Linked DNA regions of Macaca fascicularis. The protein of the gene in region 1 interacts with the protein of each later gene in a pairwise test. Links are inferred from orthologs where the notes say so. Each region holds a gene or a part of one and is shown in the gene's direction. Other genes may lie near its edges.

Evidence for each region.
Region 2: the proteins of TRIM63 (region 1) and TNNT1 interact in a two-hybrid assay, tested with the Homo sapiens proteins (2 studies listed by BioGRID and IntAct). The link is inferred for Macaca fascicularis from reciprocal best matches to the Homo sapiens genes TRIM63 and TNNT1.

The regions. Positions count from the first base shown.
Region 1 is NC_088375.1:209,028,592-209,032,335, forward strand, and holds the start of TRIM63 (E3 ubiquitin-protein ligase TRIM63), read left to right. Parts: upstream 1-1,412; 5' UTR 1,413-1,594; intron 1,595-2,560; coding exon of another isoform or gene 2,561-2,612; 5' UTR 2,613-2,639; intron 2,640-3,744. UniProt on the Homo sapiens protein: E3 ubiquitin ligase. Mediates the ubiquitination and subsequent proteasomal degradation of CKM, GMEB1 and HIBADH.
Region 2 is NC_088393.1:63,015,599-63,019,166, reverse strand, and holds part of TNNT1 (troponin T, slow skeletal muscle), read left to right. Parts: intron 1-137; 5' UTR 138-148; coding exon 149-180; intron 181-281; coding exon 282-295; intron 296-596; coding exon 597-620; intron 621-838; coding exon 839-871; intron 872-1,708; coding exon 1,709-1,730; intron 1,731-3,568. UniProt on the Homo sapiens protein: Troponin T is the tropomyosin-binding subunit of troponin, the thin filament regulatory complex which confers calcium-sensitivity to striated muscle actomyosin ATPase activity.

The DNA.
Region 1 (3,744 bases):
CCTCGCTCCCACTGCTCTAACCAGGCGCTGGGACGCGGGCCGGCCAGGCCAGACACCTGCTGGCACCCGGGAAGGGCTAGTCCCGGCCAGAGGTGTTGCCCGACGCGGCCACTCAGGCCGCGCTCATTGGCCAAGTGTCAGGCCCTCCCCCTCCTCGGCCGTGCTCAGATGAAGCCCGGAGGGGAGCCTCCCGAGCCCCTTTGCTCACAGGAGCCAGCCCAACAGTTGCCTCAACTCCTCGGGGCTGGGGGCTGAGGGCTGGGGGGAGGTGGCCCCAGTGTGAGAGGAGGCCGCGGCTGGGGCCGGTGGCCTGAGGAGCGCGGGGCCTTCCCCGGGATGACTCCGCTGACAGGTCTGTGACAGGCGTCCCAGGGAGGGAGACACATGCAGGGCCGTCGGCTCTGCAGCAGGGCCTCTCCGCCACGCCGAAGGGCCAGATTTACCTCAGGGTAGACGCCGCCGCTTCTCCCTCTCATGGGCTCTGCAGGCCGCCATTATCCGGCAGCTCGCGCCTCCGCTGCCGCCGCCTCCAGTCAGCAGCCGGCGCGCGCCCCCGTGGTGCGCGCGGACACACCCCCTTACGCCGACGGCCCCGCCCCCCTCCGGCTTTCCGTAGCGCGAGCCGGGACGTTCCGCGCCACCGACGAAGCGCGCGGCCGGCGGTCCGCTAGCCTCCTCCCTCTCCAGAGGATTTGCAGAGCCCGGAGTCGTCGGAGGTGTGCGCGCTCCGGAGCGCACCACTGCTGCTGCTCCCCACAGGGGTGGCCGGGCCCTGGAACCGCGAGGCCACGCCACGCCGGGGCTCGGCCACCCTCCAGCTGCAGCGGGCGCTCAGGGCCCGCGGCCCCAGGGACGGTCTGCAGCGGCAGGTCCCGGCCTGGGGCTGCGCGCGCCCGGCCGCGGCCTCCCCTCCCCCTACCCGCCCCTCTTCCGACCTACCGAGCTGCGGGCTGGGGTGCGGGGCTCGCTGGGGTGGAACGCCCGGTGCATCTTCCTCGCGGGTCTCGGGTGCTTGCGGGGCGCTGTGCTCTTTGGCGGGCCCGCCGGGAGGTGCGGCCCGACCAAAGAGGCCTGGCGTCCGCCCCGCCGGGAGGGAGACTGCAGCTTTTGTTCGAGTCACTGAGCCATGTTTGCGGGCAGTGCAGTTACCGAGACGGCGGCGGCGGCGGCAACGCGGGGCTGGGTGCGATCATCTGGGAGGACGCCGTCCCCTGCCCCGCCGGCGCGGTGGTATCTCCCTTAAAGAAGCCGGCGCCTCATTGTTCCCCGGCCGCGGCCGCAGGGAGCCAGGGCCACCTCGGCGTGGGGAGTGAGGGGACGGCGGCGCCTGCACCTGGCTGCGGTGCTCGTGGCGCCCCCCGGAGGCTCCTGGTGGAGGGTTGGCCTGCAGTCGGCGCGCAGGAGAAGCCTCGGTATGAGCCAGGATCCACCGCGCTCCGGCCGCTCTCGGGGCGGGACAGTCAATGGGGGCCCCGCCGCTGCCGCAGTCGCTCGGCTGCCACACGCTGTCAGTCAGATCCCTCACGCTGTCGGCCCCACAGCCAGCCCGGGGTCACTCAGGCCCGCATCTCTCAGTCATCCAGTTGTTAGATCAGTAAGCATCTGCCAGAAACGTCCATTCCTTCTTCCCCGATTTTTTCTGCACCCATTACTTACTTCTCAGCAGGGTGATGATTCCTCCTCCTTATATAGCGCTCGCTCTATAAGGCACGATGTACAAAGAATCCCTGTCGCTGTGCTCAAAGATCAACCCATTTTATTTTCTGCCCTCCATTTATTCCCCTTCTCCCGAGAGTCTGGCACTGGGTTAGGTCTTTATATAAATGATCTTGCTTAATCCTAACCAGACCCCACAAGGCGAGGTTTTATTATCCTGTTTTTACAGGTGAGGAAACACCTGCCTCTTTTCACTGAAGTGTCTATTTTGGGATGTGTCTACCTTGAATACCCACTCCTAGTGTAACACCCCCTCCCCTTAAAAAAAAAACAAACTAAAAAACCCATAACGATTCTGTAATCTGTTAAGATTTTTGTCCTGAGTGCCATCCAAGTGTCAAGTCTTCAGCTGTTTGCTGGAAACACTGGTGTCAGCCAAGACTTATTTCGTGCCCTCAAAAGTAGAGGGAATATATAGAAGGCTCTGCGAAGACAGCTAACTACCTATGTGGGTTATTGATCCGAATCAGGGGAGGGACCTCTCTCTCTCAATCAAAGTAGCGTTTTCATTTTGTCTCAATCATTAAGTATCATAGGAACCCTTGCTCTCAAGTTGGCTGCAGATGAGATTTGAAATCCACTCTCACCCCCAATTTAGGCTCACAGTTAAGTCTGTGAGGTGGGTTTAGATCTTGTGGGGCCTGAAGCTTAAATAATTTGGGGTGTCCTCCTGAGAAGAAAGGTTATAAAATGGCCCTGGGAACACATACCTGGAACATTGGAAAGGGTCCCTATAAGTAAAGGACTCTGAAGCTTAAGATTCATTAGCTTCAGGGTAAATGCTCCCTGTGCTTATTATGTTATGTAATTTTTTTTTTTTTTTTTTTTTTTTTTTTGCCTGTAGGCCTCCTGGAGGACTGAGAATTCCTGGGGGCAGGAACCTTGTCTGTGGTTGATCTCTGCAGCCTCCTCAATCTGATACGGTATCAAAATACACCTAAGGCTAGCATTCTCATGGCTGGTGGGAAGGCAAAGTGATACTGTTAACAAGGAAATTTGGCAATATATAGCCATATTATTTGATCCAGTAGCCCTAGATCAAATACTAGATTTCGAGGAATCTAACCTAGTAATATACTGGCAAACACACACACAAAAAACCAACAAACCTGTATGTACAGGACTATTCATTATGGCATTAATGAATAGCAAAAGATTGGAAACTGCTCACATGTCTAATGATAAAGAACTGGTTGAATAAATTATAGTACATACACAGGATGAAGTACTATGCAGCCATGAAAAAGTATGTGGAAGAGGCCTGGCGTGGCTCGCACCTGTAATCCTAGCACTTTGGGAGGCCGAGGTGGGCAGATCACTTGAGGTCAGGAGTTCGAGACCAGCCTGGCCAACATGGTGAAACCCTGTCTCTACTCAAAATACAAAAATTAGGCGGGCATGGTGGCACTGGCCTATAGTCCCAGCTACTTGGGAGGCTGAAGCAGGAGAATCTCTTGAACCTGGGAGGTGGAGGTTGCAGGGAGCCAAGGTCACGCCACTGCACTCCAGCTTGGGTGACAGAGCAAGACTGTCTCAAAAAAAAAAACCAAAAAACAGAGCAAGACTCTGTCTCAAAAAAAAAACAAAAAACAAAAGATGTGGAAGATTTCTTATATATACTAATAAACATATACTAATATCAAGTGATCTCTATTAAGTGAAATAAGCAAAGTGCATACAGTGTTTATAGTATGCTATTACATGTGAGTAATGGAGAGATAAATACGCATTAAGTACTTATATTTAAAAGGTAGACAATGGAAGAATAAATCCCAAACTTCTACAAAAATAGTTGCTTATATGGGATGGAGGGCATAGGGATGGGAATGAGACTTCTATGAATATACCTTTTATATAGTACAATTTTGGAACCTTATAAACATTTCACATGTTTATAAGACAGTTCAATAAAATAAAGCACTCCATAAAAATTAAAAACAAATGGAAACAAATGAACTATCTAATGTCAGATTGGTGGTGTAACACAGAGAAAATAATTTCAAACGGCTTCTTAAGTATTTTGATTTT
Region 2 (3,568 bases), on another chromosome or scaffold:
CCAGCCCCTCCTCCCTCAGACCCAGGAGTCCAGACCCAGGAGTCCAGCCCCCAGCCCCTCCTCCCTCAGACCCAGGAGTCTAGGTCGCCCCCTCCTTGGGGCCCCACCCCACTGGGCCTCTTCTCTCTGTTTCTTAGGCCGCACCAGGATGTCGGACACCGAGGAGCAGGAATATGAGGAGTGAGTGCCGCACTGGGAGGGGTTGGGGCGTGCAATGGTGGAGAGGCTCTCCCACCCCAGGTCTAACTCTCCCCTCCCTCTTTCCCCACACCCGTCCGCAGGGAGCAGCCGGAAGGTGAGTAGGGAGTGGGCCGGCCCCTTGGGATGGAGACACCCCCAGGAACTCTTGGGACGGGAGGCGAGGCTTGTGTCACCCTGGCGGGGAAGGGGCAGCTCAGCCCTCGGGCCCTCGCCCGCCCTCTCCGGGTCTGGAGCGTCTCCCCGTGCCATCCCTGCACCGCCAGGGGGCACATGCCCAACGCAGCCGAGGCCAGAGGGACCCCCGGTCCAGCAGAGGCTGGAACCTTGGTCTCTGGCCACTCCCCGCACCCCTGCCCGAGCTCCTAACGTTTTCTCTTCTGTGCCCCCATCTCCAGAGGAGGCTGCGGAGGAGGAGGAAGGTGAGGTCCCGGACTCCGCAGGTCTGGAGCTGGGGGCGGGGGGCTGGGGGCGGGGACGCTGGGCCCGGGAGGAGGGGGCGGGACGGGGCTCCCGACGGCCTCGGCTCCAGGTCCTCTAACAGCCTCTCCCGTCTCTCCCTCTCTCCCCCGCCGCGCCCGGGCGTGGCCGCTCCCCCCTCGCTCCCCACACCCTCGCTGCTCCTCCCGCCCCTCCCCAGCCCCCGAAGAGCCGGAGCCGGTGGCAGAGCCAGGTAACCGCGGCTGCTTCGCTTCCCGAGACCGATGTCGGGGGCCCGGGGGGACCCCCGATATCCTCGGGCTCCAACCTCCACGACCACCCTTCCCTCCCTCCGCCCCCATAACCCGCCCCCAGGCCCGGTCCTTTAAGCCTCTGAGAGCTCCTGCGCCCTCTCGGGGCCGGGAAGGGAAATGGCCCTGCCGTGGCTTTAACCCGTTCCCTTCCTTCTTAAAGGGACCGACACCCAAGCCTTCTTCCCCAGTCTGGAGGAATCTTTATAGAAGGGTTGGATGTTTGCGGAGAAGCACCACCCCGTCACCCTCATCTTCGCCTCCGACCTTGCCTGTTATTTTCTCCCCCATATACATTCAAAGGTTGGGGCTTGGAATTTAGGATTGCAGAGGAGGCCAGCCCTGGGAGTCAGGGTCTCCAAGGTGGGGGTGGAGGGCCAGCTGGGGAGAGAGCTCTGGGGTCACTGAATAAAGACAGAGGTTGGCCCTCCCCGCACTGCTGGGTCTTAATGGAGGAGGGCAGGCGCTCTGGGCATATAAATAGAGAAGGGTCTGGGGGTTTGCACTCCTGGGAATGCAGACAGCGGCGGTGGGGGGTCCCCACACCAGTTCTGAATGTATATCTGATGCGTGTGACCCTCTTCCTCCTTTACAGCCTCCCTGACTTTCCTTCCCTCTTTTCTTCTTCCCATGCCCCTCCTCTGGAACTGGACTCCGGAGTCCTTCCCTGGGCTCCTGGGGGCCGAGGCTTGGGGGGTCCCTCCCCAGGGTGTGTCAGGCCTAGTCCCTCTCCTCTAAACTCTTGCTAATTATCTCTTTGTATCCCCCACCACCAACAGAAGAGGAGCGCCCCAAACCAAGGTGAGACCCTACAGGGTGGGGGGCCCCAACCATACATCTTCCTAAATATTCCCTCTATCCCCAGAGATAGGGTGTGAGAAAGGCAGAGATGGAGGGAGGAAATTGAAACAGCAGTCAACATTTCTCTACCTCCTTCTGCTCCTCCTCCCTCCCCCTCCTCCCTCCCCCTCCTCCCTCCCCCTCCTGCCCCTTCCCCTCTCCTTCCTCCCTTCACCTCCTCTCCCTCCTTCCGCCTCCTCCTCCTCTTCCTCTTTTTCCCTTTCCCCTTCCCCTTCGTCTTCTCCTCCTTCATCATCGTCATAGTCTCCACTCTATTACCCAGACTGGATTGCAGTGACCCAATCCTGGCTCACTGCCTGGACATCATGGCTTCAAGCAATCCTCCCATCTCAGCCTCCCGAGTAGCCGGGACCACAGGCATGTGTCACCACACCTGGCTATTTTTTTTTTTTTCCTTTTTGTAGAGCTGAGGTCTTGCTATGTTGCTCAGGCTGGTCTCGAACTCCTATCCTCAAGCAATTCTCCCACCTCAGCCTCCCAGAGTGCTGGGATTACAGGCACAAGCCACCATGGCCAGCCAGTCTGTTTCCTTCTTTCCACCCAATGGTCCCTCTTCCCCTCGCGCCTTTACCATCACCCCAGCCTCCTCTCTGGCCTCCTTGCCTCCAGCTTGTGGCTCATCCTCCTCCATGACTCCAGAGAGACCTTTAACACCAGCGCTAACCCCGCCCCTCCTCTGCTCAGAATCTTTCCTCAACTCCCCACTACCCTTAAGACAAGTCAAAGCAACTAGCCTGCATTCAAAGCCTTCCCCATCTGGCTCCAGCCGAGCTCTGCAGCATTTCCCTTCCCCACTGACAGACACACAGTATTTCATGGTTCTCTAGCCACACCGTGCTTTTATACCCCGAGCCTTTGCACACACTGTGCCCTCTGCCTGCATAGTGACAGGTGGGAGGATCGCTTGAGGATAGGAGTTCAAGACCAGCCTAAGTAACAAAATGAAGTCCCCCGCATCCCTACAAAAAATTTTTAAAAATTAGTCGGGCACAGTGGCACACACCTGTGATTCCAGCGACTCAGGAGGCTGGGGAAGGAGGATTGTTTGAGCCCAGGATTTGGAGGCTGCAGTGAGCTGTGATTGCACCACCGTATTCCAGCCTGGGCAACAGAGCAAGACCGTCTCTAAAACATAAATAAAAATAGGGGAATGGGGCTGGGCGCAGTGGCTCATGCCTGTAATTCCAGCACTTTGGGAGGCTGAGGGGGGCAGATTACCTGGGGTCAGGAGTTTGAGACCAGCGTGGCCAACATGGTGAAATCCTGTCTCTACTAAAAATACAAAAATAATTGGCCAGGCACGGTGGCTCAAGCCTGTAATCCCAGCACTTTGGGAGGCCGAGATGGGCGGATCACGAGGTCAGGAGATCGAGACCATCCTGGCTAACATGGTGAAACCCTGTCTCTACTAAAAAAAAAAACAAAACAAAAAAATTAGCCGGGCGAGGTGGTGGGCGCTTGTAGTCCCAGCTACTCGGGAGGCTGAGGCAGGAGAATGGCGGGAACCCAGGAGGCGGAGCTTGCAGTGAGCTGAGATCCGGCCACTGCACTCCAGCCTGGGCGACAGAGCGAGACTCCGTCTCAAAAAAAAAAAAAAAAAAAATTAGCCAGGTATTGTGGTGGGCACCTGTAATCCCAGCTATTTGGGAGGCTTGAGGCAGGAGAATCGCTTGAACCGGGAGGCGGAGGTTGCAGTGAGCCAAGATCGTGCCATCGCACTCCAGCCTGGGCGACAAGAGTGAAACTCCATCTAAAAAAAAAAAAAAAAAATGGAGGGA